2 linked regions of the Astyanax mexicanus genome follow. The protein of the gene in region 1 purifies or fractionates together with the protein of each later gene. This does not show direct contact. Links are inferred from orthologs where the notes say so. Each region holds a gene or a part of one and is shown in the gene's direction. Other genes may lie near its edges.

Region 1 (16,414 bases):
GCCCTCTGTTGTTCAACGTCATGATAAATGACATTTTTTCATCTGTGGGCGCAGGAATTGCAAAATCTCTTTATGCAGATGATGGGGCTCTGTGGAAAAGGGGTAGAAATCTCCCTTTTGTTTTGAAACAGATGCAGGAGGCATTAATGAGGGTGGAGTGCTGGGCTAATGATTGGGGTTTTAAGCTGTCTGTGTCAAAAACACAGGCTATGTGTTTTTCCAACCGAAAAAAATCTACTTCTTTGGGTCTACGCTTATATGATTTGGAGATAGAGGAAGTTAAGGTAGTCAGATTTTTAGGTATGTGGATGGACACTAAACTGACATGGAAAACTCATATCAGTAAAATAATGGACAAATGTAAAAGTGCTCTTAATGTTCTTAAATGCCTATCTGGATGTGACTGGGGGGCTGACCGATCATCACTCCTTTATATGTACAGAGCACTGATGAGATCAGTTTTTGATTATGGTTGTGTGGCGTATAGGTCTGCATCTACAAACACTCTTAAAAAACTGGACCTGATTCAAGCTCAGGCATTAAGATTATGCAGTGGAGCAGTGAAATCGTCCCCTGTGGTATCTTTGCAGGTGGAGACTGGGGAGATGCCCTTGCAGTTACGGAGGTTGGCTTTATCCACTGTTTACTGGGTCAATGTAAGAGGACATGAGCGCAGTCATCCAATGTCTACGGTTATTCATGACTGTGTAGACGACATGCATGGGATCTCTAGGAGTTTTGGATGCCTGGGTACTGGAGAGGCTGAGGGTATGGGTTTAAGGAACTTGACGCTGTGTACAACAGTACCTAGGCCAGTAATTCCTCCTTGGCTGTTTCCAGAACCTGTTGTTGATTTGTCTATACACGACCAGCTGTCTGCAGATGTTGACAGGTCTGTGTATTCTATTGTGGTTCGAAGATATTTGGCACAGTCTTATTTTAATGTTTTGCAAGTTTACACAGATGGATCTAAACAACCTATATCAGGAATTACAGCGGCAGCTGTCTTTGTTCCAGACTTTCAAGTTACTATTGGTAGGAGGTTGTCTGATAATTTGTCAGTGTTTGCAACAGAGCTTGTGGCTATCGTGCTGGCCTTGCAGTGGGTTGAGGAAATTTGCCCTTTGAGTCTGGTCATATGTTCTGACTCTTTATCAGCTCTCCAGAGTCTACGTACTGGAAGGTCCTCCTGTAGGCCAGACCTACTTCTAGAAATATGCCAATCGTTGTTTAGACTCCAAATGCAGCGCATACATGTCAGCTTTTTGTGGATACCAGCACATGTAGGAGTGGAGGGGAATGAAATGGCAGATGGGATAGCTAAACAATGTTTAAATCACCAGGAGTGTGACCTTGTCATCCCTCTAAGGAAAGGAGAGATTCAAGTTCTTATTAAGAGGCATGTTCGGGCAGTATGGCAGAATGAATGGACACAACAATCTAAGGGCAGACATCTTTTTAACATTCAGCCTGGGGTTGGTTCGAGTTCAATGGGAGGGTCGGGTAGAAGAAATGAAGTGGTGTTGGCTCGTCTTCGTATAGGTCACACTTTACTGAATTCTTCCTTACAGCTGATTCAGAAGCATGACACGGGGCTATGTAGATACTGCACACAAAGGGAAACACCAGAGCACGTGATATTACACTGTAAAGAATATTCTGAGCAGAGACAGTTATTATTTGACACACTCAGAGTGAAGGGTCACAAGGATTTTTCTTTAAAGGGTTTACTTATATATGGGTCAGGGATGGGATTAGTGCACAAATATGTTTTGTTGTTCTTGAAGTCTATTGGGTTGTATAATTTAATTTAGTTTTTTTTTTTTTTTTTTTTTTTTTTTTTCTTTCACAATGTAGTCACTGTCCTGAAGTCTTGATTCACCCTCCAGCCTAGTAGATGGCGGTAATGCGCCAGTAATTGGCCTGCCAACCGCCATAAAATTGGAAAGAAGAAGAAGAAGAAGAAGCCAATCAGGGACGTTCACTGTTCTCCGCAGCTGATTAACTAGTCAGTTCGTCGGTTAAGGAACATTTAACGGAGGAAAACCACGATTTTTTTGTTAACGTTAATCTGTATGTTATTTAATGCAGTTTTTTCGGATTTATCGAACAGAATGGACGAAAGCAAAGCAAACGAACAACTTTAGTAACGTATTAGCAGAATTCTAATCGAAGGAAATGTGTTTATCGTCGAGTTTTCATGAAGGAGGCCCATGTTTCGACAACCTGCAGTTACTGTGAGTTAGCTAGCCTAGCCGACTAGTTAAGCTAGCCAGCTAACTAGCTACTGAACTGTTAAAGGCTAAAGTGTTGTTTGTCTGCTCTTTTAACAATAATTGTCGTTTATTTCCGTGTATATTACCTAAATGAGTGAGATCTAAGCTATTCTAGTTGTTTACAACACACAGTGGTCGTTATAAATGTAACGTTAGTCCGAATAGCTAGTTAACGCTAGTTTAGCTAGGTTTACCTTTATGCTAACTAACCTAGATTAGCCAATGGAATGGAGTTCGGACATTAAACGTTTTTAATAATGTTGCTATCTTATCTACTTAACTAAATAGCTTAATTATGGAATATTACTGTGCAGTCAGCTTCTAGCTACTTTTAAGTTATATGTTCTTTGTGTGTTTGTGGTTTCGTTTTAGTCAGGTTATTTTACTTTACTTCTGTGTAAAATAAACGTGATCTAATCTTTGTAACGTTAGTTATTTGCAACAGAGGGAGGTTAAATAAATGTTATCTAGACCTTTTGAATTGCATTTTATAGGAAAATACAGTTATATAAAGTATACACCGTTATATATACGGTATGTAAAGTTGGTGAATTAAGGTGAATTCTGGCAAAGGTCTGAAACTGTTTAATTTGAGTTGTGTTGCAAAGAATATACGGTTTTATTTAGAAATTATATGTAAAATAATATATTATATTATATTATTTTTATTAGCTTGTTCTTTGTTAAAGAAAGTATTTTTACTGAAATCTGGAGAGAAGTAGATGGCGCTCTAGGAGCAGGGTTTAATCTGAAAAGAAATTATGCCACCTGGTGGTAGTGTGGTCACATGGCTTTTCAAAGGGTTGTCATTTTTGTTCGTTTCTTTCGTATCCTCACTAACCTGGTAGATAAAATCATAAAGCATTTGTTAATCCCAGTCCTACCTTGACGTTTTTCTCTGTGTTGGTACATTTGTATGCAATACTAATGCATTGATAAAATGACAGCAAAAGCCTCTTAACATTTCTGTGCTGTATAAGCTCAGTCTCGTAAAGTATCGTGAAGTGGCACCAACCAATAGCTTTGTGCGTGGAAGCATTGGTGGTTCAGTGGTAGAATTCTCGCCTGCCACGCGGGAGGCCCGGGTTCGATTCCCGGCCAATGCATCACATTTTTTCTTAAACCCCCTCCTGAGTTAAGATTTTTTGATATCTCAGTCCGATTATGTGCTGCAAAAGTTAATCAAATATTTATTTTCCTTTTTTTTCCTTCAGTTTATGAAATCACAGTCCACAAGCTTCCTTGTATTGACTTCTTGCGAACCATGGGAACGTCTCCTCTCACTGCTTTGGTGAACGAAGTACCTGATAAGACATTTAAACACGTTGTTATTATGATTTTTCTCTTTTACATTTATATAGATTTCTGTATTGTTTTGTTGCACAGGTCATTGAAATGAACAGTTTTTTCAGGTTTAGTGGAAGACATGACACTCACTCCTCGTTAGTATAGTGGTAAGTATCCCCGCCTGTCACGCGGGAGACCGGGGTTCGATTCCCCGACGGGGAGAGTACTCTTTTATTTCCCCTTATTTCACCGCGGTCACGCCATCTGCACTTAGAAAACGCTCGGTCGCGCTATCCACACCGAAAACTGGAGTGCGCGTCTAAACCGTGTTTTACTGTAGCAGCGTGTCCAGCGCACCCGGAGGAGCAGAGACTGGCGCTTCTCGTGCAGAGACTTAAAATGGAACAGAAACTAGTTTTATACCTAAATAAACATGATTTAACGAGATCTAATCCACAAATATACACCAGAATGAACACTGCTTATCGGTAGAACAGTGTAAAGTTTTGGAAATGTTTGGAGAGCTATTAAATAGGCAAATCAAATTGTTATCATATCACAGCACTAAATTCTTAGAGATCTTATTCTCACGTATCCCAGATATATGTTTGAAGTGATATTACTGTATCATTTTGGAGTAATTGGATACCAAAAATGTCCATTCAGTTTTGTAGAAAAAATTTGTTTGGAGTGCAAAAAAATCTAATTGTTATCATATCAGACAATGAAATCCTTGAAAAAGACATTCCATACTCTTAATGTCATGCACGTCAAGTGATTTTGCTGTATCATTTTGGAGAAATTGGATACCAAACTTAGGAAAAATGTCTATTCGCTTTTGCATAAACCACATTTCAAAGTCCTATAAAAGCTGGTTTATAGGACTTTGAAATGTGGTTTATGCAAAACTCACCTACTGTCCTGCAGAGCTCTTTAACTGTACCGCGGAGGTTTTTAACTGTAAAAAGCTCCACAGGACAAGTAAAAAGCTCCACGGTACAGTTAAAAAGTTCTACAGGACAGTTAAAAAGCTTCGCAGGACAGTTAAAAAGCTCCACGGTACAGTTAAAAAGCTTCGCAGGACAGTTAAAAAGCTCCACGGTACAGTTAAAAAGCTTCGCAGGACAGTCGTTGAGCTTCTCAGGCCAGTTAAAGAGCTCCGCAGGACAGTAGGTGAGTGTCGCGGGACAGTACGTGAGTGTGTACTAGTTTCTGTTCCATTTTAAATCTCTGCAGGAGAATCGCGAGTCTCTGCTCCTCGGGGTGCGCTGGACACGCTGCTACAGTAAAACACGGATTAGACGCGCACTCCAGTTTTCGGTGTAGATAGCGCGACCGAGCATTTTCTAAGTGCAGATGGGGTGACCGCGGTTTATTTTTTTTCTGTTTTTTTTTTAATGCTTTATTTTAAAGCAATCCTTTCAATGACTAAAACGCCAATCCTGGTGAAGTGTTTCATACAGTGAATTTTCTTGTTCCTTTTGAACGTTTTCACTTGTACTGCAGCTTTGTATAGCCTACTGGCAAACGTCGTGACCACTCCTCGTTAGTATAGTGGTAAGTATCCCCGCCTGTCACGCGGGAGACCGGGGTTCGATTCCCCGACGGGGAGAGCAAAATTTTCTTTTCTTTTTTCCTCCTAAACTCTGCGGGGACTGTTTTATAAAATTATTTCTTAGATGAACCAAAGCTTGAAAGCTGTTTTAATGTTGCACTGTTTTAATGAAAACCTATTTTATGTAACTAAAGTAGCTTAATTTCAGTAAAACAATAGTGTTTACACCTAATATTTAATCTTGGGCCGGGGTTTTGCAAAGAGATTGTCTTCTAGTTTATTGCTTATCTTTTAGTTTATTCATTACTATAGCTGCTTTATCTAAAAAAAATGTAAAGAAGACTAAATGACAGAATAAACAATAAGGTTGACAGTTGTCCACAGTTTGCACAGGATAATTGACTTTTGGATGGTTTTAATGTTGGTTAAATATGCTTTTTTTTTTTTTATACAATTAATGACTGTCCCTGTTTTTGTGCTTGGTATTATGGACTCAAAAGCTGTGACTCTCAAATTGAAAAGAAAACTTATTTTGTGTACCTAAAGTAGCTTATTAAAGTACATCTAATGTATCATCTCTCGCCAGGGTTTGTCATTTAGTTGTCTGTAAAGCTATTGTAAGATGACGATTTTCCTGGGGTGGTCAAGGGTTTTGTGACAGTTTGGCCGGTTAGCTCAGTTGGTTAGAGCGTGGTGCTAATAACGCCAAGGTCGCGGGTTCGATCCCCGTACGGGCCAGTAAACTTTTATGTACTTACTGTGAGGAAAATAAGTATTTAAACACCCTGTGACTTTGCAAGTTCTCCCACTTAGAAATCATGGAGGGTTCTGACATTTTCATCTTGGGTGCATGTCCACTGTGTGAGACACAATATCTCATAAAAAAAAATGTAGAAACCACATTTTTTTTTTTTTTTTTTTTTTTTTTTATGAGACATAAGTGGACATGCACCTAAGATGAAACACCTGTTTATGACCTCAAACAGGTGCTTCTATTTTAGAATAATAAGTGGAGTGGAGATGGACTTTTAAGAGGAGGAAAACAGGTCTTTGAGGGACAGATTTTTTGTTTATTATGATTGTCTTTCACAGGTCTCTGCAATATTTTCAATGCCACATTGTTGGCCATGGCTGTAAGTAGGACAGCACTATAAATCTGAATCAAGTGGTTTGTGGTTATACTTTTCTCTGAAATGACCCATTTAACACAGACTTGGCCGGTTAGCTCAGTTGGTTAGAGCGTGGTGCTAATAACGCCAAGGTCGCGGGTTCGATCCCCGTACGGGCCACTAGCCTCCCCCCACCCCAAATAAACACAACTACCTTTAGATTCTATGCAAGTGGAGTTTATCACACTCATCTATATGCACACACGAATTAATCATACCCTGAATATCTAAATTATAAAAATTAAAATTAGTTAACCACTGTACCATTATGTATGCAACATACACATAACAAAACATAAAGAGCCAGATTGGGGTTTGCTAGAACTTGAAGGCAGTAATTTTGTGGTTTGCCTTTTCAGTAACACCTAGTAAGTAAGTTAAGTGTCTCTTCATACTTTTTTGACAAAGTGCTGTTAGTTTATTATTTAATTTACACTCACTAAATGTGTCGGTCCACAGGCCTGCAGCTACTTTACAGTTTTTTTTTATCTGATCTCACACCTGCTTCAACTGTTCATTGCATTGTAATGTAAGGCACCAGTGCTCCAAGAGCTGGGGGTATTTTATTTTACTAGATTACGTGATCTATAAATAGTATATGAGCTGTAAATCAGGCCTTTTCAACAGGATGGATAATGATTAACCTTAGCAATGGACTGTATTGGTACATGGCCAGTTGAACACTCACTCCTCGTTAGTATAGTAGTGAGTATCCCCGCCTGTCACGCGGGAGACCGGGATTCAATTCCCCGACGGGAGAATGCCTTTTAGTTTATTGCTTGCTTTATAAAGCTGGTTCATCTAAAAAAATGTGAAGAAAACTTGCTACATGTCCATTAACTTGTTTTATGAGTAACGTGGTTGGACTGTTTAAAATACTGGTAGGAAACAATATCAAAATTCTAAATATGTTATACGGGTGTTTAACAATCTGTGTATGCCCCCGACTGTGTGCTTGGTATTATGAACTCTAAAACTGTCAATCTCAAACTGTGAAGAATTATTTTATGTAAAACTTAATTAGCTTTAGTTAAGTAAAAATTATGTTTACACCTAATATTTAGAGACAGTTTTACAATCTGTGTTGTTCCAATGCAAACAATAGATACATATGAACATGTATCCTAAAAATTTTGTAATGCAAAAATGTTCTGCAATGTTTTTTGCAGGGGTCCGACACTGTTTGGCCATGACTGTAAGTAGAACAGCACTGTAAAAACTGAATCAAGACACTGTATTGTATTTATTTTTTCCTGAAGTTGCCTTTCCTTGTGGACACTTTGGCCGGTTAGCTCAGTTGGTTAGAGCGTGGTGCTAATAACGCCAAGGTCGCGGGTTCGATCCCCGTACGGGCCAGTAGCCTTTTACCCCTCATTTCAGACACACACAACTACCTTTAGTTTCTATGTACTTGATGTTTATCATACTCATCTGTAAGCACACAAGTTTTAATCATACCCAAAATAGAGAAAAAGAGCCAGACTGAAGTATTATAGAACTTGAAAGCAGTAAATTCATAGTCTGCCTTTTTAGTAACACCTAGCAAGTTTAGAGTACCTTTATACATTTTTTTTGACAAAGTGTTGTTATTTTATTATTTAGTTAAATTACACTTACTAAATATGTCTGTCCACAGGCCTGCAGCTACTTTACTGTTAGTCTCATCTGATCTCACACCTGCATGGCAACAGTGCACCATGAGCAGGGGGTATTTTATGTTATTAGGTTTTGTGATCTAAAAACAGTAAATGAGCTGAAGAAAACTTGCTGTATGTCCATTAACTTGTTTTATGAGTAAAGCAATAATGTTGGCATTGTCCAACAGGTTGCACTGGTTACTTTTTGGACTGTTTTAATACTGGTAGAGGACAATAACAAAATTCCAAATATTAACAATCATTAAATGCCTCTGACGGTGTGCTTGGTATTATGAACTCTATAGCTGTCAGTCTCAAACTGTGAAATAAACTTATTTTATGCTAAACTTAATTAGCTTTAAGTAAAAAAAAAGTATGTACACCTAATATTTAGAGACTATTTTATAATTGGTGCTGTTACAATGCAAATAACAGATACACATGAACATGTATCTTTAAGCTTTTGTAATTGGAACAATGTTCTGCAATGTTTCTGCAGGGCTCCCACATTGTTTGGCCATGGCTGTAAGTAGGACAGCATTGTAAAACTGAATCGAGTTACTGTATTGCAGTTATATTCTTTCCTGTAGTTGCCTTTTTTTTTTTTTACAAGCAGCTTGGCCGGTTAGCTCAGTTGGTTAGAGCGTGGTGCTAATAACGCCAAGGTCGCGGGTTCGATCCCCGTACGGGCCAGCAGCTTTTTCCCCTCTCGTCTGAAACACACACAGCTATATGGTTGGATTCAAAATTTCAAATATGTTTTACGGTTGTTTAACAATCAGTGGATGCCCCTGACTGTGTGCTTGGTATTATGAACTCTAAAGCTGTCAATCTCTGTAGAAGAAAACTTATTTTATGTAAAACTTAATTAGCTTTAAATAAAATTATGTTTACATACTTAAATACTATTTTAGAATTGGTGTTGTTATAATGCAAACAATAGATACATATGAACTGAATCAAGTCACCGTATTGCAGTTATTTTTTTTTCCTGAAGTTGCCCTTTCCATGTAGACAGTTTGGCCGGTTAGCTCAGTTGGTTAGAGCGTGGTGCTAATAACGCCAAGGTCGCGGGTTCGATCCCCGTACGGGCCAGCAGCCTTTTACCCCCTCACGCCAAACACACACAACTACCGTTGGATTAAATGTAAGTGAAGTCATTTTAGAGTATCTTTTATACATTTTTTGACAGTGTTATTGTATTTATTTTTTGTTTTTTTAATTACACTTACTAAATGTGTCTGTCAACAGGCCTGCAGCAAATTTAATGTTCTCATGCCTGCTTTAACTGTACATTGAGTTGCAATGCAAGGCAGCAGTTCTCCAAGAGCAGGTGGTATTTTATGTTATTAGGTTACATGATCTAAAAATAGTAAATCAGCTGTAAATCAGGCTTTCTCAGCAGGAGGGAAATGTGATTAATCTTGGTGATAGACTGTACGGGTACATGGCAAGTTGAACTCTCATTCCTCGTTAGTATAGTGGTGAGTATCCCCACTTGTCATGTGGGAGACTGGGGTTCAATTCCCCGACAGGGAGAATTCCTTTTAGTTTATTGCTTGCTTTATAAAGGTGTTTTTTCTAAATAAATGTAAAGAAAACTTTCTATATGTCAATGAACTTTTATGAGTAAAGCAATACTGTTTGCATTATTGTATCATTGTAATAAGGGTTGTTTAACAATCAGTGGATGCCCCTGACTGTGTGCTTGGTATTATGAGCTTTAAAGCTGTCAATCTCAAACTAAAGAATACCTATTTTATGTAAAACTTAATTAGCTTTAAGTAAGTAAAAAAGGTTTACACCTAATATTTAGAGACTATTTTATAATCTGAGTTGTTACATTGCAAACAATAGATACATATGAACATGTATTTTAAAGCTTTTGTAATTGCAAAAATGTTTTTCAATGTTTTCTGCAGGGGTCTCACATTGTTTGGCCATTATTGTAAGTAGGACATTACTGTAAAAACGAAATCAGGTCACTGTATTGCATTTTTTCCTAGAATTGCCTTTTCCGTGCAGACAGCTTGGCCGGGTAGCTCAGTTGGTTAGAGCGTGGTGCTAATAACGCCAAGGTCGCGGGTTCGATCCCCGTACGGGCCAGCACCCTTTTACCTCCTCACCAAAAACACACACAACTACCTTTGGATTCTTTGTAAGTAAAGTTTAGATACAGGTTGATGGGCCATGTGTGTCTTTGCTGCAGTTGAAAAATATAAAGGAGAACATTCTTTAGTGTCCTATGTTTTGACCCTGACCTGCATACTGCTGAGAAGCTTCCACGCGACTGGAGCGGATGCTTAAAAAAACATTCTTGGCCTACAGTGTGTGTACGGGACCTTCAGGTAGGCCTATGTGTCAAGTCAAAAGTCGACATCTATCATCAAAAATAGACTGAAATTTTAAGAATATGGAGAAATGCAAGAAGGGAATGTATGGTGTCAACAGAAAAAACAATTGTGTGTACACCTGTATGTACTATTTAGACTAAAGTTTTGGGGCACCTACAGAGAGTTTCTCATTACATAACATTTTAAATCTGTGAGCAGTAAATTGGTGTTCCCTTTGTAGTTATACCTAGTGTTAATTAATGAGCACAGCTAAATGTTACTTGATGCAAATTTGGCCGAACTTCCTCCCATAATTTATACTTATTACAGAGTCTGTTGACATGTGAGTTCAGAAGGTAGATTACTTTTTAATTTGTTGAAAACGTTCATGGTATGTCTTCGAAAAGGGGGCAGGTGATGCAGTAATTTATTATTATTTCTTAATTATTGTGCATTCCTTATTTCATGTAATGGGGAGCAATTGGCTTTTATTTTATTGTTCCTTTTCACATTAAATACTGCAGCCTCTGTTATCTGTTGCACCATTCAAGGTGGAACTGGAAAGTTAGTTGAACTGTTTTTACCATTACTATAAAACATTGAAATTACACTGTAGTAATATAATGGTTATCATTACGAGGAAAATACTCAAATTTGTGGGTTTCTTTGGTCGATTGTGCCACTATCTTGCTATCTATAGTATATCCTAGTATATCACAATAATGACTCATTGAAGCAATGTACTTAATAATGAAAAAAATATGTTTTATTTATATGGTGGAAATGGGATTCCATACTTAGTTTGTTAATTCCACACCAACCTGTTGCTCTGGTGGCTGATTGCAGCACCACGCTGAAATTTAGAGAGCTCTAGACTCGCCCATTCTTTCTATAATGTTTGTAAGGCATGCTGCATGATGACGCTTCATTATGTGCAACTGTGTTCCAATACTTCTGTCCATGTAGAGAAGATTCATGAAGATTGATAGGGATTTTTTGTTTTTTGAGGTGAAGTGACAAATAGAAGTGTCACAGTTTGGCCGGTTAGCTCAGTTGGTTAGAGCGTGGTGCTAATAACGCCAAGGTCGCGGGTTCGATCCCCGTACGGGCCATCATTGTTTTACCTCTCGGGGACACTGCACTTATCTGTGAATTAACGTTTGATTATAATAAACACGAGTTCGGTTGTTTAGCTAAAAATTCATCGTTCTCTTTTGAATATAGGATTTTAATAACCAGATGGCAGCATACACAAAAATGTCGAGGACTGAAATCTAACGCTATAAAGTTTCCACGTGAATTTTAGTAACGTTAACCTATATTGGTGTGTATTAAGTGCTTAACCCATTAGACCCTGTATAAACACCCACACCTATAAGAACCCAGACTCATTTCTATACATTGACACCAATTTCAAAATGAAAAAAGATACATTCAGTGAGCAGCTCATTTATGTTTTTCTTATTGTGGGCACATGACTAAATATTTAAAGAAAAAATCACAAAGTAACATAAAATGACAACTATTTCATAAATATTAACATTTTGTTATAGAAATAAGGTCAGAACAAAGAATTTGAATGATTGGAACATACACGTAGAAGCAAATAATACATAATCCAGTTTAGTTTAATCACTTGTGTATCCTGTAAATAAGATGAACAGATTCACACACTGTTCTTATGTCAATAAAGAACTTAATGACTCAAAATAAAGGGCAGAGTGCTGCAAAGAACTTTACAAAGCTTTTAAATGGTCTTTGACACACATTTATGTCATTATGGGTTTTTTTGGGTTAAGTTCTTTACTCTCTACAGAAATAGCATCTGGCCTACAACATAACCCTGTGGAGAGCCACACAATATGCTAAACCAATTACAATGCTCCCAAATAATTCACTATTTTTTAAGTGCTGAATAATTTATCTATAGGGATCAAGGGTATGCTATATACTCACCATAGATTACTTCACAGTTTTCCTCTGTCTCAAGCTTCCTGAAATATCTCGGTAGGAATCCTGTACTGACTTAGCTAGCTCGCAGATTGCAACAGCAAGCTAACTCTAAACAATCTGTAAAGTTTTGGAGAAAAATGTGTTGGAAAAAAGAGAGGACCTGTGTTTTTTGTAGGCTGTGCCTGGAGGGTTTATATGATTTATATCAAGGGTTTGCACAGCGTCTAGAAGTTTCAGAAGCACTGCTTTAACCAAGAAGAATCTTACCGCTCCACTGCTAGTTCCCACAGAAAGGTGGCGATGTGCGACTAATTGCTGCTGTCTGCCAGAAACAACGAGGAAAAGGAGAGTAAACACAAGCGTGAGTGTACGTATGTCGAGTTTGGTCTAAAACTCTCCCAGTAAGGATTATTAAGGCTCTAGAATATAGTGTTGGACACATGGCGGGAATAAAAGATAAAGAGGCTTTCCAGAGGCTGAACTTCCTCTATCAAGTAAGTAACCTGATGAGAAAACTCAACTTTCTTAAGCTAAATAGCTAAATTAAATAACTAATCTCGTTTTTCCACATTTGAAATACAGGCTGCTCACTGTGTTTTAGCCCAAAACCCAGAAAATATTGAACTGGCGAGGTTCTACTGCTTCACCCAAAAAACAATAGCCAGACGACTGGTGCTGAGACAGTGAGTATCAGTCACTTCTACACACAGTTTAATTTAATGGAGGTAATGCAGGTAATGATTTTAACCCAGAGGAGCCCACGGTGACATGTTACAAACCCTTAAAAAGTTGTGTAGAGTTCCTTCATTTTAATTCAGTAAGTCTCTAAGTGACACAGACTGAACATCCTGAGAGCATCACAACATAACACTGTTTGAATCTGTGTAGTTCATCCATCTGACTATATTTATAGAATGTAGGAATGTTGGGTTAGTGCTTGAGATAAAACTAGCTCCTTCTTTGGCTTCTACTGCTTTTTTCAATCATTTTAACAATTCAAATACTTTAATAATAAATATTTGTTCTGCTCTTTATTACATCATGATTGTGACCCAAATTTTTACAGTCATATGGCAAAAATAGTAAGAAAAATCCATGAATGCGAATTTATCTCCTCTCTTATGGGTTAATAAACTGACTATAAAGATACTCTGATGGTCCACTGGATAGGCTGTTCTTGCTGGTTGAACAGGTAAAACACATCAAAACAACCTATGTTGTTCAATAGCTAGACTGGGAATTACTTAAATTAACCAGCTAAGCAAAAATTCTCCCAGGGTTGTTTATTGTAAAACAGTAATTCATTGGAAACTCTTGTGATGCTTGTATAAGATGTACTGTGCCTTCTTACAGAGATCCCTCAGTGAAAAGAACCTTATGTAAGAGATGCTGCTCTCTACTGATTCCTGGAGTTACATCAACTGCCAGACAGAGTATGTTCTGCTCCTCTCCTTTCTGCTGATCCCGGCAGTGATTTATCTCAAGTTTTTTTGTAATGTATAAAAAAATAATGGGTTGGTTTGATAAAATATACCTACATGGATTTGTCTCATCTGAACATATCAGGGAGTCGCAGAAGGCAGTGTGTGACTGTTATACGATGCCTAAGCTGTGGACTGAGCAGAAAGTTTCCAAACAATCCAAAACATCAGCTGTGGGTGGACCAGCCAGAGGCACAGCTAGAAAATCAGCCTCAGACAGGTAAGAATGATGACTCGTCATGATTTATTTCTTTTTAGTAAGCTTAAACAAATAGATGAAATTATTCAATAAACGCTCCTGAAATGTTGCCATATTTTACATTTTCTGGTAGATAGATAGAAATATTTACCTACATACTACCATGTTTATTTATTTATTTTATTTTAAGTACAGTACACTGTAAGTTATATAATGATTATATAATGATGACAAAATCCTGCATTTACCAACCATGGTTATGCATGGGGCACAGCCAGTTCCTTCCCCTGTGCTCTACTGTCTCTCTCTCTCTCTCTCTCACTTATCTTTTAACTACATGAGAATGACAAGATCCTACACCTAACACTGTTTGGTATTTGACAAAATATGTTGTATTTTGTACCTCTACACAGTTTCATATATTTGTCTTTGTTGTATTGTGTGCCCACAGAAACACAGAATCAGTCATCCAAAACTGCAGTCCAGGGTGATACATCTAAATCCAGCAGTGCTGCCCCATCAACACACAACCCTTCCTCATAACTTCCCAGAATCCCTGAACCTCTTCAATATCTGATTTACCACTTCAGACTGTTTATTTCTAATGATGAGGATTATGCTGGTGCTATGATCCACGTCCTCTGCATGTTGTTAAAATTGCAAGACCACTGTGTGACATTTGATTACCTGTCTGTCCAGATGAAAAATGTTCATGCACTGGACACAGGCTCTAAATGATTGCTGTGTTCTTTTGCGTAGAATCTTTACAATCGTTGCTTAATTTATTTTCATGTCCACATTAAAAAGTAGTTTATATGACAAATTCACAGTCTGTACTAAATCCTGGACCACCGTATATATATTTATTGGTTGTGAAGCTTACTATTAATACAATGTTGGGTAGAAGATTGAGTGGCATTGTTTGTTAGAAGTTAGATTTGCCTGGTAAAATAAAGGTTTAAATTAAAAAAAAAAGAAGAAGTGGCCTAACATCATAAAGCATTGTTTGGTGTATGTTTGTTTACATTGAACATTCAGAAGTTAGATCACAACACAAAGTACATAATTTTTACTGCAGTTTTTTTTTTTTCACTTTTAAAAAACTTTACAAAGAAACTTGGTGACAAAAGATTTCATGATCTGGAATGGAAAGATGTTAAGACAGTCTCTGGTATTTGTTTAATAGAAGAGCAGGGGTGCCTTTATTTAGTTCTTTTTTTAAAACATGTTTTTAGTAAAGAGCTAAAGAGCATTTCCCCTGTAGAGGAACAAGGCTAAGATCTTGCCTAACAATATGAGGTTGTATAATTATAAAAAGGTTTTAGATCACAATTCATGTCGTTTATGGTTTTATATTTGTTAAGAGTTTAATTCAAAAGTTTTAGAATTAGAATTGCATGTCTCCCAACACATGTATGCTCAGTTCCTTGTCAGTCACATGCAAATGTAATTATAAATCATTTAGATTAGTGAGACATTTCATCAAAATCAAGTGATAACATATGTCAAAATGTCCTAATAAGATGAGCAATGAATTTACTCTGTAGATCTTTATTACTAGTACACAATTTATAGCTGATACCTGTAATTAAGAGTTTATACAAGTTAAAACTACATTACAGTGATCTTGCATAGGAGTTTTACTGGTAAAATGTAATACTTCAGACATTTCAAAGCTGATGTCTGAAATGTACAATGGCCCTAAGGGCGCATCATGTAAAAAATAATAATGTGTGGCCACGATATAAGGCGTGGGAACAAGATCCTAATTAGATAATTAAGTGGTGGCGATGACTTAAATGTCCACATCTTAAAAATGTGTCCCCAGGCTGGTCTGTTTCGCACGCTTTAATAAGTTGTGGCCAACCCCCTTTTGGTTTTTCACCTTAAGGGCTCGGAGTGTTTTATATATATATATATATATATATATATATATATATATATATATATATATATATATATATATATATATATATATTATTTTTTTTTTTTCAACACTCATTTGTTTATCAGTGAGTTACGCTATCACTACTTGTTATTTTAGGCTAAAACTATTAAAACAATTGTAGCTAGTAACTTATATGTTTGCCTGATTGTGCAAACGTAAGTAACAGACTTAAAATTCATGACATAAGTAGTAGTTAGCTAGTTTGATTCAGGAGCACAGGAACAGCTTGTAAAACTAGTAGCTAACACAATAATTTGGTACTACACTATTAAAATGTCACAAGAAATTGGTTCATTGTATTTAAACTGTAAGGTTGCTCAATCTAACGTTACCTACTAACCTAGACTAGCTGTAGTTCAGCTGCTGGTGAAACAGTCGCAACACTAGCTGATGAAACGAACTGAACATACTTACGTTTGACGTTAACTACCTAAAATATCTGTGAAAAACACCTCACGACGGCAGTTCAGACATATTAACAACTAACGTGAAGTTTACTAAAACAAATAAATACAACGTGATTAAGTTTAGCAATGTGTTTAATATATGGTGTTTCTCGAATGTACAACGTAGATT
Region 2 (16,315 bases), on another chromosome or scaffold:
AGAAACTTTTGCTACTCTTCCTCTCCTCCTCCTTCTTTCCTACTCCTCTTCTCCTACCCCGGGTGAAGGTGGAGGATTCTAGGAGAAGAGAGAAATGTATTTATGCATATCACGTATACTTCACAGTATTTTTGATCATGATATAGTTTAAAAATACACAGTCATCCTGCATCACTAAAATGTTTATTTCCTTTATTAATGACTGGAATGGTCACAAAAACCCAATATTACGACTTTATTCTTGTAATATTACGACTTTATTCTTGTAATATTACGACTTTATTCTTGTAATATCACAACTTTATTCTCGGAATATTACGTCTTTATTCTTGTAATATTATACCTTTATTCTCGCCATATTACGACTTTATTCTCGTAATATTACGACTTTATTCTCGTAATATTACGACTTTATTCTCCAAGGGAACTGTTTTTATTTTTTTTTGTATGGCCCTAAATTGGCCTAAATTTCTGTGTCTAATAATTATATACACACCGGAAACACAATCTGTAAAACAGAACATTGTCAATTGTATTCACCATGTATGTTTCCAGTAATAATACTGAAAAATAAGAGTCTTATAAAACATGAAAATCAAAGGATTATCATATCACACCACTAAATTCTTAATGATTTCTTCCTCATGTATTCAAGATATATTTTAAGGGATATTACTGTACCATGTTGGAGTAATGGAATACCAAACGTAGGAAAAATCTATTTTCAGTTGTTCATAAAACAGATTTGATCACTTGTTTGCTGTCCTGCTGCATTTCCACATTAGATATTCAGTCGGACCTTAATGCACTTGTCCAAGCCCAAAACAGGCTAGATTTCTGTCACTGAACACAAAAAAGAACTGAGGAAGAACAATCATACAAATGCATTTATTGCATTTTTTGTATAAAGTTAAATGATGCTTTTGAAACACTTGATTTTTTTGTGTAAGTGTGTAGCTGATAATGCTTCTAGTTTAAAACACTCTTAATGTTGCACAATTTAATGTTCATAAAATATTTCGATAATTATGTGCTCAACATTTTCATTGCATCGCTGTAATGATTCATTAACTGTTCTTTATTAAGTTAAAGTGATGCTGGTCTTAGAAGAATGTGCTTTTTTAGATCAGGTTGTGGTGCTACAGTCAATGCAATGTAAAATGTTTACAGTTTTCTAAACTGAACCATCCCATGTTTATTATATGTTTATTATGTTATATAATCCACCACATTTTAATGTATCATTGTAATGTTTCATTTACTGATTTTTTTATACAAAAGGGGTTTTTATAAATGCCGTGTAGGCCGAGCTAAGTATATTAGTCTGGCCCTCAAAAACCGTTAATATTTTTCATGTGGCCCCTTGGGAAAATTAATTGCCCACCTCTGGTATAGGCAAATCCGAAATCCGGTATTAAATATACAAGTACAAACTTTTGATAGTAGCCCACATCCTTTCACCCCCAGCATTCTGAAATACAGCGCTTTAAGCCGATGTTTCCAACAGGCTTACAATGCTAGTGATAGGGGCATAGCATTGCCCATGCATGAAAATGCTGTTTTTGCACCTTTAACAAGCGCAAAGTAGCTCCAAACTTAATTGGTAGATTTCTTTTTAATTGAAATGAGACACTGAGGCCTTTGAATGTGCACAGATAGTTTATAAAGAAAAAACAAAAACACTGTTTATACACACAATACCTTTAGGTCATTTATAAAGTGTGGCGCTACTTTGAGCTTGTTAATGATGTAAAAATAAGCATTTCTTTGCATTGGGTAACACTATGCCCATACCACTTTCATTGTGAGCCAGTTGGGGGCATCGGCTAAAAGCACTGTATTTAGGAATGCTGGGTTGATGGGGCGAATGGAGGTGGGCTGTTCGACAAAAGTTTGAACTCATTATAAATACGTCCATATCATAGTGGACCTTTTACAAAATCATTCTGTGATGAATAAAGAAGAAATTGCTAAGTTGTTAAGAGTGATGCTAATAATAGCTTGGTTGTATTTATTGGGCTGTAGCTCAGCAAAAAAGCTAGTATAAAGTCTCTGGTAGTAAAAAAAAAGGGATTAGGCATTCCCAGTGGCTGCAAGAGGTATTTGTGTAATGCATGCTGGGTATTGTAGTAAGAGACCAGTGGAATCCGGAGCATTCCAGCCTGACTGAAACATAAACCTGCAGACACACATGGTGCCCTATCGTACACCTTGCACAAGGAGTGGTGCGATGCTTGTTGCTATCTTACATCCTGTGAACAGTTTATTATCATGCCTTGCATTAAAATTGCATCGAAGTTTAGGAATATATTTACATCGATGTCCGTGGTGGATAAGAAGTGGGGTGTGTTCAGGTAAATATCTGTCATGTTTCAATTTTGGCGGTGGGAAACACAACTATGCCACTGACTGATTAAAACCATGATAACTGTCAGCCGCCCAATCATATCTTAGCCATGCAGGAGTACCAAGCGCACAGCGTGCCCTCAGCCAGGGCTGATTCAAGGCATTTGGTGGCCCCAAGCAAAATGGACCCAACCACATACTATCACTACCTCAACAATAAACATAATAAAGAATAAAATTACATTGCTGTTTTCTTAAATAACCTGCTGCTGGTGTATCTTCACAGCATTAATGCGCAGGTCAGTATGAGGTTCTTAAAAGTAATGGAAATTAGTGCACTGATTGGTTTATTTCATGTTACGCCCAAAACAAACCCATGATTAATTAAGAGAATTAGTACATTCCTTTTGTAAGGTGTATTTTTAACTATAGAGCGCTAAAATAGGGCCCATGGTCACCTCTTTATTAGACCCAGGCCAGGATAAAAGGCCTCTTTCTTGACCTCCTTATAAGCACAGTTTGTGTAAATCCAAAAACTTCTTGGTGTCAAAATTGTTGAGATAATTTGTTACAGTGACAAATCAAAAGAGATACTTAGTAAACGTACTAGACTAAATGGAAACACTGACACTCATTACTGCTTCAGAAACATTTCTGAGGTAGTTTTTTATTTAAAGAGTGACATCCTGATCATTCCAATCAAATTCCGTCTTTATGTAGTCAGAAGCCCCATCCCTGGCCTTCCAGGGCAGTACCAGCTTGGTCCCATGTGGTACCAGCCCTGATACGTTGCTCTCCAACTGAGGCAGGCCAGAGCGCCCCCTAGGAGCTGAGTGGGGAACTGTGGGAAGTAAGCCAGCAAACAGAAGAGCAGGAAGAGCCAGAGGCTGAGCAGCAGGACGCAAAAGAGGAAGATGATTCGCAGAGGGGCCCCAGAGACCCCGCCCAGTTTCAGGTAGGGCCCGAACACGCCAGTCTCCTCTGCAAGCAGGAGGCAGCACAGACACAGCAGGAAGACGTCCTCGGAGACCTCGTAGCCGCGCCACATCAGGCCGGCACTGACACACGCGGCCTTCGTCTCGCCCTCCCGTAAGAGCAGCAGCGGCTGACCGGCACCATTCTGCCCGGCGGAGAGGTCAGGGGCAGAGCTCAGGGGCTCGTAGCAGCTCCCTGTAGCGTTCTCTAGCAGACCCAGGACCTTTCTCAAGCCCACCCACAGCACCCCCGCTACAGCCAGCCGTGACAGATGGCGTAGGGTCAGCGGGATCGACCGCCGGACAGAGAAGGTCAGGAGGAAGGTGAAGGAGCCGACGAAGATGCATGTCCAGCCCCAGCCTGACCGCAGGAACACCCTGAGAGACAGAAAGACAAGATATTAAAAAAAAATTAGTAAAACAAATCAGAAAATTTTCATTTCATTTTCAATTTTCATTGCAAGATTGGCTCAAAAATGATATACACTTATTTACTGTAGGGGGAGCCCAGGAGCAAAAAAAACCTTTTCTTGCATTATGCTGCTTTAAAATGCTGTGGATGCAGATAACCTCTTTCAAAGACTGACCCTCATTTTGTCCTCCATAGCCCCACCCCCTTATTGCTCACCTGTGTTTTGTTTATAACCCCACCCAGTAGGTGTTCTGAGGTGTTCTTTTTGTGTTCTAGTTCTGTTTTAGTTCAGTTGTTTTTTAGTGTTGTGTTTATGGATTCCTCTTCTATCAACATGGAGTTCACAGACAGTCCCCTAGCCTTTTATCTACACTCAGCAGCCACTTTATCAGAAACACCCAGCAGCATGAGGCAGAGTGTGGGAGGTGCTGGATCCTGATTAGCAGGATGATGCCATAATAAAGACATGTTTATTTATGTCAGTTATTCTTCTAAGTGCTGATAACTGCCATCAGCTGATGTTATGCTGCATTTCATTTGTTAGGATTTTCCTAGTTTTAAGTAGGAAATTTCCATTAAGTCATATTTCCTTTTTCAGAAAGTCAGAGTTTCACAATCCAAGAAGGATGCATTGCACATCAACAGTAGTAAAAGCAACAGTATTATACTGCACTTTCAGTTTGGGTTTACTTTGATATATTCAAAATCGGTGTATTAGTTTTTTAGTATCTGGTATGAATTTGGTGTGATATTTCATATCCGGTATGAGTTGTTTATTCAGTATAAATTATTAATTATCTGGAATTATTGGAATGTACACTATCCAATATAAATTATTCAGTATCCTGTATGAGTTGTTTAGCATCCATCGTATTTTCAGTGCCCATTATGAATTATTCTGTTTCAGGCATAAGTATGCGGTATTAATTTTTTAGTTGCAGGTATGTGTTATTCAGTTTCTGCTATGAATTATTCAGTTGCAGGTATGAGTTCTTCAGTATATGCTTTGAATTAGTCATTGGCAGGTATGAGTTATTCAGTGTCTAGTATGAACAGTGTTCACACGCACCTCAGCGAGTTCACACGCTCACACGCCACACATGGTATTTCTCACGATTGCCAATCCAATCGGCTGTATATTATAATGTACTCTCGTTGAGCCAATCAGAATATAGATCGCTCTGTTGTTAGGCAGACCTAGTGAAAGAGGGTGGAGTTTTAGGCAGAGTGTCAGGCGCGAAGAACTGTCCGATTCGAAAGTTCCGAAACACACGCCGGTGAACAACTGAAGAACGGTGGCAACCCCGCCCCACCCAATCACCCCGGTTTAACAACTGAAGAACAGTTTTAGCTATGAGCAATTCAGTGTCTACTATGAATTATTCAGTATCCAGTATGGCTTGTTTAGTATCAGGTATGAGCTGTTTAGCATGAATTATTTAGTTGCAGGCATGAGTTTTTTTAGCTCATCTAAAATTTATCATCTAAAATTTATCTAGTTAGAGTGAGAGTTGGAGAGTGTGGAGTGTGTGCAAGTTAGATTTGAGGTAAAGGTGAGCTAAGGTAAAAGTTGCTCAGTATCCAGCAAGAGTTGTTCAGTATCCGGTATGAAACTGGGTTAGCCAGTTACAGTGAGAGTTGGAGTGTGCACTGTTAGAGATGAGGTGAAGGTGAGCTCAGGTATGAAGTGTTTAGTATCCGGTATGAAACTGATGTGTAAGGCAGTAAAACTGTATGCCGTTAGAGTTGAAGTGAAGGTGAGCCCAGGTATGAGGTGTTTAGTATTCGGTACAAGTTATTTAGTATACGATATGAGTTGTTGAATATCCAGTATGAAACTGATGTGTAAGGCAATTAGAGTGAAGGTTGGAGAGTTAGTGTGCTGTTAGAGTTAAGGTGAAGGTGAGCTCAGGTATGAAGTGTTCAGTATCTGCTATGAGGTGTTCAGTATCCGGTATGAAACTTATGTGTTAGAGTTAGAGTAGGAGTTGGAGAGTTGTAGTGTGTGCTGTTAAGAGTTGAGTTGAAGGTGAGCTTAGGTACGAGGTGTTCAGTATCCGGTATGAGGTGTTTAGTATCCAGTATGAAACTGATGTGTAAGGTAGTTAGAGTGAAAGTTTGAGAGTTAGAGAGTGTGCTGTTAAAGTTGAGGTGAAGGTAAAGCTCAGGTAAAAGGTGTTAAGTATCCGGTATGAAACTGATGTGAATTAGAGTGAGAGTTGGAGAGTTAGAGTGTGTGCTGTTAGAGGTGAAGGTGAAGGTGAGCTCAGGTATAAGGTGTTCAGAATGCGGTACGAGGTGTTCAGTATCCGGTATTAATCTGATGTGTTAGGCAGTTAGAGTGAGAGTTGGAGAGTCGGAGCATGTGCTTTTAGAGTTGAGATGTAAAGGTAAAGGTAAAGCTCAGGTATGGGTTATAAAGTGTGTGTTACTTACCTATAAAGAAAATGACTCCTCTTGGCGAAAACACTGTACTGGGAAACCCAAAAGTTCAGCAGGGGTCCAAAGACCACCATGGCCGACAGCAGCAGGTGAAAATGCCGCCGGAATAAGGCATTTCCCAGCAGTCCTGCCGCAAGGTCAGTCACAACCACGAGGAAAGTGTTCAGGAACATTTGTGCAAATGTGAACCAACTCCAGCTGATCGGCTCAACTCAACGGATTCCCTCCAGAGTCCCAACTCAATCTGTCCTAATCAGTGTTCTTCCACATCATTCCTCTCTGGGGCCGGTTCTCTATTAACCTTTAGTAGATCTCCATATTCAGCTCAGCTCTTCCAGAGGGTCTGGATTCTTTAGTTCCAACAGCAAGTGTGCTCCTGTAGTGTGCTACTGTATTTATACTGTAGTTTTCCCCTTCATCCAATAAATATTCTGCCATTAACAAGTCATGATTCCCTCGTTTTTGTGGTCTGACTGTAAGCATGTACAGTATCTCCTGGTATTTGCTGAACTGCCCAGTTGCTCCAACTTACAGCCTTGAGACCAACACCCCTCCCACATTTCAACATGACAGAAAAAGATCCATCCCCATGGTGTAGTCCCACCCCCCCCCATGCCCTCACATTTACACTCACACATGTAATCTAATGCAATGATCCTCTGTATGTTATTTTAATTGAGTAGTACTAACACTTAAATAAATATGATTTAAGAATACAGCCTAGTGTTAAATCTTGATGTTTCTAAAGTGTGGACTTTTCTAAAAAATAATAGAGGTGCTTGTAAGTTTTCTGAATCAATATTTCTGCATACTTTTCCTAAAAGTAGACAATGATATATGTAAAAAATGAAATGAAATGAAAAATATAAGACTTTTTTTTAATGAATGATCTATTTGTTATCATTCTTCATCTGTTAATAAAGAACGATCTAATGTTACATATCTGTGGGCATTTTCAGTCACTGATAAAGGCCTTTTGGAACAATGTTTTGTGAAGGGATAAGACCAAAATTTAGTGTTATGTTTGAAGAAAGTAACATCTTTATCCTATCTGTGAAACATGGTGGTGATAGATTCATGGATTGGTCCTTTTTTGCTATATCTGGGCCTGCTGGATGGCTTGCAATCACGATAGAACAATGGTTTCTGAATTATATCAGCACATTCTGAGGGATAATATCTAGACATTTGTCTTTGAGCTAAATCTTGAGAGAACGTGGGTCATGCAGCAAGACAATGACCCTAATCATGCAAGTTGTTTTACCAAAGAATGGTTAATTAAACTATATTGACCTTAATCCAATATAAATTTCCTGGAAGGAGCTGAAGTAGCTGGTCATGTGAGAAAACACACCAATGGGCTACAATTCCTACAACACTTACAAAAAAAAACTTTAGTTGTTTTCAGTTTTTAGATACTGAAAACAATGGTTTATATACTCTCGCCATTCCAAGATGATTTAGGTCAAATTCATGCAGAAATACGGGAAATTTTCCAAACTTTTAAGCACATCATGCTATTGTTGTGTTGTTGGCAGATGCATTATCAATTGGTATTTCATTGGTGAAGAGCAGAATGTGTTTAAAAATATACAGCACCAGCAAACTATGGATGTACCTGTAAATGTGTTCTCTGTTAAAGGGCTAAAGCAGACCTTAAATCCACCATGGACCTCTTGGTCCAAGCATTTGGAACTGCAACATGACCCAAAAAAGCTGTTATTTCAGACGAAATGGAGCCTTACTAAGTGCTAAGCACTAAACTCTGTAAGGTGTCCAAGCTTTTGCATAAGACTGACATTTGGGAAGGGTTAAGCGTGGTGACCAGCACGAAGCGCTGTGTCTCTATCTCTGCTCTTTCTATTTTTAGCTTCAGCTGTTAGGGTCAGCACCTGGGAGTATTTATCGCCGCCTGTCCCGCTATCCGTCTGTGTCTCACAGCTCTCTCACAAATAAAGCCCACCCTTTCAGCCTACAGTAGAGGTCTGCACTCCCGCGGGAGTCCCGCGGGACCCGCGGGACCCGTCAGAATATGTTGCGGCGCGGGACAAAACTGAATTGTTATTGGCGGGAGCGGTAATTTAATCAATACAGGCCATGCGGGAGCGGGACCACATTAACATGTGGTCCCGCTCCCGCAAATTGATAAATAGTTAAGAAAATTATAATAATCACGCTATGATTCCCATGCAAGCAACAAAAAAACACAAGAAAAATCTCTCGGAGGATGGACACACACACACACATTTTCAGCATCTCCAGCAGGCGTGTGCAGAGGAGGGGGGGGGGGGGGGAGGGGGGTGTGTAATTTAAAGGACGACATTTACTATACTGGTGCAAAATAATAATAATAATAATAATAATAATAACAATAATAATAATAACAATAACAAAAACATTGTTATTATTATTATTGTTATTATTATTATTATTATTAATAATAATAATACAAATATTAATTAAACTAATTGAATTTAATTTTTTATATTTTTACATTTATTATTTTATATAATATAGATCCACTTCTAATCCACTTCTAGGATTCTTGATGCACCTGATGGCATGTGTTTGGACTGCGAACTGAATTGCTGTTTTAATAAATACATATGTAAATTTGAAGCACTAAATGTAATTAATTCAATTCATATTAGGACTGCGGGACGGGAGCGGCGGGAATGTGTATGTGGCGGGCGGGAGCGGGATTAAAAGAAGTGATTTTTTTGCGGGAGCGGGCGGGAGCGGGACAAAAAGACGCGGGAGCGGGCGGGAGCGGGTTTAAAAAAACAGTCCCGCGCAGACCTCTAGCCTACAGTCTGTTTAGCCCCGCCCATTCAGCCTACAGCCACTTCAGCCCCACCCAATAGTTTTACCTATTCAGCCTACAGCAGTGTAGCCCATCCAAATATATAATTTTTCTAAACGTTAAAAATAGACCTAATAAATGCAATAAAAAACACATTGCAATCAGCAATCCAATTATGAAGAAATAGAAATATAATATACATTACTATGCACTATACATTAATTAAATATAATTAACTAATAATATATTTAATTAGAAAGTAATATCATTTAATCATTTATTTAAGATTAATGGCAGATATTTGTTTACAACCGTGTCACTTCAGTTAAACACAGATATACAGCTGAACTGATGAATATATCAGCAGTATTGGGATGGTTATAACACATATTGTGTTTTTTCTTCCTTTTTTTGGGTCGATCTTTTTTAAGACTTGAAGAGGAAGTTGGGTAAGGAAATTCCCCTCAAAGACCAATATATATTGTATATTTTTGATGAGCCTTCGTTTGAGCGCAAGGAAAAATGTATAGTAAATTTAATTATAATTTTAGGTAAATTTGATATTCACAAAAATAAATTTGCTTTAAAAATACCATAATTCCAGATTTTTGTCTATTCAGACCTAAAATTTATTTACACTTACTGACTCATTTTATTAAATTAAAAAGTAGGAAATCACAATTTTCTTTTCTCTGTTTTTTTTTGTTTGTTTAGGTTTGTTTGTTTGTGTTTTTGTTTTGAGGTGCTTGCGATGTTGCTTGTATATGATGTGTTTTTCACTTATTATTGAGATGGTTATAAGTATACAGAGTTAGTTGTATACAAGGAGACGCACGTGCTCTCCGGGTCAGTAGGGGGCGGCAGGGGCGCGAGCGGGTCAAAAACACGGTTCAGCCGGCATGGTGAGCAGTGCTGTACTGTCAGTGTGTCTCCCCCCTGCTTTATTATAAATTAGTTTTTAATAATAACACAATTAAATAGAGTAAGATGAGCCCGGAGCTGGAGCAGTGCCCGCGGAGTCTGTTAGTGTGTGAAAAAGGAAACTTCAAAAATGAGAAATCCCGCCATGAATCCCAGGCGCTGAAACACAGCTTTAACTGCAGGGTAAGATACTGTTCCACCTTAAAAACAGCTGCAGCTACAGCGCTTCTCAGCACAGTTTAAGGTGGAGCGGAGAGCCTCGGTTATAAACAGTACATTATTACTACTAAATCAGAAAGAAAGAGAGACTGCAGTGGAAGTGAGGCTGGTGTGTGTGGAGTTATTACAGTCTGTAGTCTGTATATCAGAGTAAAATTTACCAGACAATAAATTAATTAAAATTAATAAACTTGAAATATTGAGTGGCATACATTCTAAATTTACATTTTAACAATGTTTTTATGGGCTTAGAACTTGTATTGTAAAAGTTTAAAAATACCTTTGAAAATATCTCGTATATTTGATATCCGTAAAATATCTCCAAATGTATTTTGGATATAGGTTATAGATTTGGGCTAACTCGTATTCTATTTTTCATCTTCTATCATCTCGTCTTATTTTTTTGTCTATTTACTCCAGTGTTATTTTTTAATGCATCCAAACTTATATTTACTAAGAAAGTTATCTTTAACATTATAGTTTATATTAATGTCCCCAGCTTAGATCCAGTCATCTAAAGTTGGTCCTTCTTGCTGTAACCAGTTTGTTGTCAGTTGTTTTTTTAACTGGATGCTAAAAGAACAGCCAAATACATATTAGTTCAAATTTGTTTCATGTCAGGGTGGACATAGCCTAAATATAGCATCTTAAAATTAAAAAGGGATCTCCCTTCTAAATATGCTTTACAATAACTCAAGTTTATCAAAAGTCAGATAAACTTCATATTAAAATATAAAATGCAGATTTAAATAGCTTTTAAGCTCTATAGGAATTGTGTTGATTCAGCTTGTCAGTTCACTGTTTAAATACATGAGTTCCCTGAATTATTTTAGGCCATTCTCTTGTAGCTGTTAAATGTGAATGTAAACTGTAAAAATAAGGGGTGTTTATATATGTAATGTATATAATGATAAATATAATATATAGTTTTTTTCATGCAGATTTCCTTATTGATACCTGAGTGTGGAAGACTGCCTGTGATGCTGGAGAAAGTACTTAGTAATTTCAGCTCATATTTCCATGTCCAAGACTTTCCAGTTTCTACATTCCTGGAAGAGAAATGGCTGGATGCAGTGAAGAAAGGTAGGAGTGAGGAGGAATTCGAGAGAGTGGAGGAGTTGAGAATAAGCGGCTCAATTCAGTGCTTGTGGTGTGATGGAGTCCTTTATTCACTGTTTGTTTATCCTTCAGGAGGTTTCTATGCACTGTCTTCCAAAACCAGAATTGATGAGGACAATGTTGTTGCTGTTTTGCCCAGCGGTAAGTACCATAAGTGCATACATGCAGTAATGTGCAAAAAGTGTGTGTGTGTCCTCAGTTTTCATCATTTTTGCAATTTTTTAACATCTACTTTGTTTGGTCCAGACCTTCAGACTTTTCAGGTGTTTGGTCTGAGCTAAAATAGTAGTAATAGTGAAAACTGCCACAAACCACAGCCTGTTCCAGAGGATTTAAAAAGGTGTCTTGGTCTGGATACACTGAACCCTGGTTTGGTTCAATTACAGTGTAAAACATTGGTGTAGATAGTTTGACTCTTGGACCAATTACAAGAAGTTAAGGCACACTATTGTCAATTTAACAACAGAAAAAGAAAAAAAAACAGAACCAGTGCTGTGCCATAATCTGAGAAACCTTCACTTGTAACGCCTGTCACATAGCAGTATAGGTGGAGAGCTTTACAGACCCTCCTGTATCAAAGCAACCCTAAACTGTGAAATCTCACTTCACCATACTTGTCAGAATCTCAAGAGCTATGAATGAGTTCAGGCTGCAGCTGAGTTTATCAATGCGCTTCAACTCTGTAAAAAGAACACATTTCTGCAACACAAGCCTTCTAATATTATTAGAAGACACACAATAATCCAAATACTTATGAGGTCTGTTATCTCGTTTTTAACCACCTACCATATTCTTCACACAGTAAGGCACATTGTATTATAAGGCACACTATTTTTGGAACTTTCAGTCTACAATCTGATACACTCACCACTAATTGGCAAAAGAGTAAGCGGTTAACGGCTAATGCTAATGCTGCTCCAGTCTCGGTGGTGGAGAACTAAACTGAAACTCCTGTACTTCAGCAGAGTGGTGTTACTGCTCCTTACAACCTGACTGATAAAATTCATACATAAGGCGCACTGCCATAAAAGTCACATGAATTCAGATCTGGCTGTTCAAACACAGCCTTAAATCAGATATATTACTATACTATCACATGATACAATCAAATTACAGAACACAGTGGAGCCGCAAAAATATGAATCCTCCTGTTATTCAGCAGAAAACCTGATGGTTTCCTTCTTCAACATGTGTTTTGATGTTATTTTGTAGGAGGAACTGGGCTGGAAAATCAGAATTTTTGAGTGGTATTGCATTTCTGTGTGGACAAAGATATTTTTAAAAATCCAGACAAAAAAACACTAGTGGAGGGTGCCCCCTGCTGGCCGAACACAGGTGTTCCAGGCGTTGTGCTGAATTCTGCCTCCTACCAATGGATGTGTGTGTCATGCAGCAGAATGATACCTTTATTTCTGTTTATAATCAAGGTTTAGTCTACAGTTCTAGCACGTACAGGAATCACCAGATTAACCTGCTGCCCATACAGGACCTAGGCAAGACTGGTTCTTCTTCTTCTTCTATTGTTTAATGGGTGACAATATCTATAGTCTCTTAGTCTCTTTCTGATGGTAGATACAGTATCTTCCAAACCATCTAAAAAAAGTGTTCACACTGGAACAAACTGAAAAGTCAGAAGGTCTGCACCGAAAAAGCTAGGTGAAAGCTGCTTAAACGAGCAAATTTAAATGTCATGTTTTTTTTTTTTATAGAACCCTTAAAGGTCTCATTTTATCGTTTTTTTTTTTTCCTCAGTAATTTTAAGATGTGCTGTGGTCTCTTTAAAAAAAGCTGTGGTCTCTAGTATGAATGAATGCCATGTGAGCTGTTTTTTGTGAATAAAAAGTGCTCCAGTGATTCTGTATAATGCTACTTTAGTCCAGTGGAGGAGTGGAGGGAGGAGTTGGCTGAGCCGCAGTAAAATCCTGGGGGGGATTTTTAATTTAACCACTGTAAACAGAACTGTTTTAAACACACACCTACCTATCTCGAATGTACTTGGCTGGTGTTGTTTTATAGACAAATTCTAACCATTTGTTCCTTAGCTCTGAATTACTGGGTAAAGACCATAACTCTGATGTGTTATTTGCACAAATAACACAGGACTGAATGGCCATGCTGTTCCTAACGCTGTTAGCTCATGTCTGACAAGACGGTGGTGCTGTCTGGCCTCAGCTCTGCCTGTGGGCGGTGTGGGACCCTAAATTAGGATATTAGGGATCAATATATGTTATATTACTCATATATTAGTACATTTGGCCTTATATGAACGAGTTCATTGAGTTCAGTTAAAACTCTGTCTGCTCTTCCTCAAGTAAGGCCCAGTCTGCACTGGGTACGGCTGTGAGGGGGAGACAGATAAGAAATATGCTGAGTCATACCAGGTGTCTCAAGAGGCCCAATATCCCACGGGAAAGCTGGGCAGGAGAAGGAAAAGTGGAGCTAAAAGCCCCCACCTTTGTTCACCCAAATACTGTATAAAAGTGTGTGTATTCCTCTGTATTATCAGAAGACTGAAGCTTCCTGGCTGACTTCAAGAACAATAAAAGATCAACTTAGAACTTCGGAAAGACTGGTCTTCTCCTTTCTTTAAACTTAAGGCTCTCGTCTGTTTTTACCTTGTTTCTTTTGAACTTAGAACTTTTGTAGTGATGCATGACTAGATAAGTTTTAGAGCTCATTTTAGCTAGCCCAGGCTTCCCTTTCTGGGAGGCCTAGAAGAGTCGTGAAATAACGCACGACAGCGGTCACAAGCCAAGGTGGGCGAGGTCATGAATACTAATTCACGGGTTGATGTAGACACGGTGCTTTTCCTGATCAACTCGTTTTTCTGAATATTTTCTTTTCTTAGCTGCTGCAGTCAATGGATGTTGAGGAAGTGTTTCATGTGCAGCATCGTATACAACTCAGAGAGACCTGTAGTATTTCACAATACAATGATTACACTCAGCTCATGATTTAGTTTCATTCTCAATTCTATATTCTCACTATGATTTGGACAAGAATGAGTTCTGTTTTCTGTAAGTGAATGAATAGAGTTAACTGTTCACTATTCACTAACTAGTGAAAGAGTTAGTTCTGCATTAGGGTAATGAATAGAATGTCTGTACCCCACGAGACTCAGTTATGTCTTAGTATTAAGATCAGGGCTTGGTAATGCATTTCTGATCCCCTATAAAATACATTTAACACTGATACAAGGATGTAACATAAAGCTACAATACTATATCAAAAAAAGTGTAACTCTCGAAACAGACTGTGCAAGATTATGTGTGTGGTTTAATGTGATTTTATTTAATTTAACATTGTCTAATGTGTTTTTTGTTTCAGGTCAGCTGATCTTGTCTCTGGATAAGGACACATATGAGCAGCTGGGCCTGGAAGGAAGACCTTCCCAATACAGTCACAGAAAGACCGTCAGACACAGTAATGCCTTCAGTTAACCAGAGGATTTCTTAAAATATTAAGATGTACACATTGAACTGTATCCACAGTGAGTGCGTTTATATACACATTTCATAATCCGATTATAAATAGGTTGCTGCATCCTACTTAAAGGAGAACTCCGGTGTAAAAAAGACTTTTGGTGTAGTAAAACATGATAAAAGAGTACTTACCTTTGATGAATAGCCCACCTCCGCTCTCCAGCATTTTTCCGAGATCCATTTATTTTGTGCTTTTTGCCCAGCACTCTTTACAACAGGCGCTTCAGGGCATCTACTTGGCTCCTGCAGATAAATCGCTTTTTACACCGTTATTCAGGCTCAAAGTATCTCCATCTCTCATTGGTAGAATCTGGGGAGCCCTAACATTTAAAACAATACATTAATAACTTTAAAAGTGCACAAGAAGCTTAATAAAAATCACTGTTTGTAACCCGTAGCGTAACCCTCATGACACCAACATTTTAAAGTAAAATATTGATCAGTACAGTGATGGCGGTGCTCAGAGATTAGTTTACGCTATGGGATATAAACAGTAGTTATTAATAAGCTTCTTGTGTATCAGATTTAATTTTTAGAGCTCAGATTTTTGATCTCAGTAACATCTACAAATCATATAAACAAATCTAAAAAAAGAGTGCTGGAATTTAGCTCAGTAATCGTATTTCTCAGTTCATCTGATTTTTGGGTTTTAAATAATGTTCACGATGCATCTTATTATGTGAGATTATTGGCTGGTAGCAAAAAAAAAGAGTTTTTCCATTATTTGATCACCCAAATTCATGTAGATGAATTTATTGGATTGCTGACAAACTGATCCTCCATAATCAGATTATGAAGTGCATGTAAACTCTCTTAACATAAAAAAAAAACATTTACTGAAAAAAACAAACAAACAAAAAAAACAGAAATCAGACAATTTTAATAAACTGTTACTGTCTCATCCACAGGAATGTTTATTTATATTTCTATTTTTACAGTTGTTACTGTGGATCTTAAATCTTTGGTTCTGGGCACGAAGAAATATCAGCGGGTTCTGCTGTGTCTGAAAGAGAGAGTTCCACTGAAAACCGACTTCCTCTTTACAGGTCTGTACCCGATCACCTGAACATTAGTCTGGAATTAAATCTCTAAAAATTGCTGTAAAACATCATAGAAAACATCTGGAGTGATTTATAATGAGGTGCAATGCAGACTGTACAATTAGTACAGACATCATTTACATATAAAAGAGCCTTAAAGGCCTATACTGTGAGGGAACAATGGACTCTATTTTAACGACCTACCGCGCACCAGGCAGCTTGATTTAGGGTCAGTGTGTCTTTGCTATTGTAACAACAGGAAAAGTACAACATGCACGGCTCAAAATGTGCAAAAATTAGTCTTGTACTTGCAATTCCCTTTAAGAGTCAGGTGCACTCTGACTTTGGTGAATTATTATTTCAAAGGTGAAGCTACCTGGACATGTCCAACGCTTCTCCGCAGATAAAACTGTGTATTAATGTAAAAGTACACTGCCAAGATAGCAATGAACATCTGACTGTTGAAATTTACCTGAACACACCTTAATTCAAGACCGTTGTTTTTATTTAAATGATGCAGAGACAAGTCATAAAAATATACATGACGGGATGTAAGA

What was found.
Region 2: the proteins of ribonuclease P protein subunit p21 (region 1) and rpp40 purify together in Homo sapiens (co-immunoprecipitation; 3 studies listed by BioGRID and IntAct, counting the BioPlex papers as one, with this or other methods). This does not show direct contact. The link is inferred for Astyanax mexicanus from reciprocal best matches to the Homo sapiens genes RPP21 and RPP40.

The regions. Positions count from the first base shown.
Region 1 is NC_064423.1:28,898,867-28,915,280, forward strand, and holds ribonuclease P protein subunit p21, read left to right. Parts: upstream 1-12,178; 5' UTR 12,179-12,650; coding exon 12,651-12,704; intron 12,705-12,792; coding exon 12,793-12,893; intron 12,894-13,563; coding exon 13,564-13,643; intron 13,644-13,776; coding exon 13,777-13,911; intron 13,912-14,341; coding exon 14,342-14,433; 3' UTR 14,434-14,894; downstream 14,895-16,414. UniProt on the Homo sapiens protein: Component of ribonuclease P, a ribonucleoprotein complex that generates mature tRNA molecules by cleaving their 5'-ends.
Region 2 is NC_064411.1:30,812,474-30,828,788, forward strand, and holds the start of rpp40 (ribonuclease P protein subunit p40), read left to right. Parts: upstream 1-9,842; 5' UTR 9,843-9,964; coding exon 9,965-10,081; intron 10,082-11,058; coding exon 11,059-11,200; intron 11,201-11,308; coding exon 11,309-11,377; intron 11,378-14,563; coding exon 14,564-14,659; intron 14,660-15,656; coding exon 15,657-15,764; intron 15,765-16,315. Other genes in the region: fitm1l (fat storage-inducing transmembrane protein 1), read right to left, coding at 3,059-3,698, 6,169-6,347. UniProt on the Homo sapiens protein: Component of ribonuclease P, a ribonucleoprotein complex that generates mature tRNA molecules by cleaving their 5'-ends. Also a component of the MRP ribonuclease complex, which cleaves pre-rRNA sequences.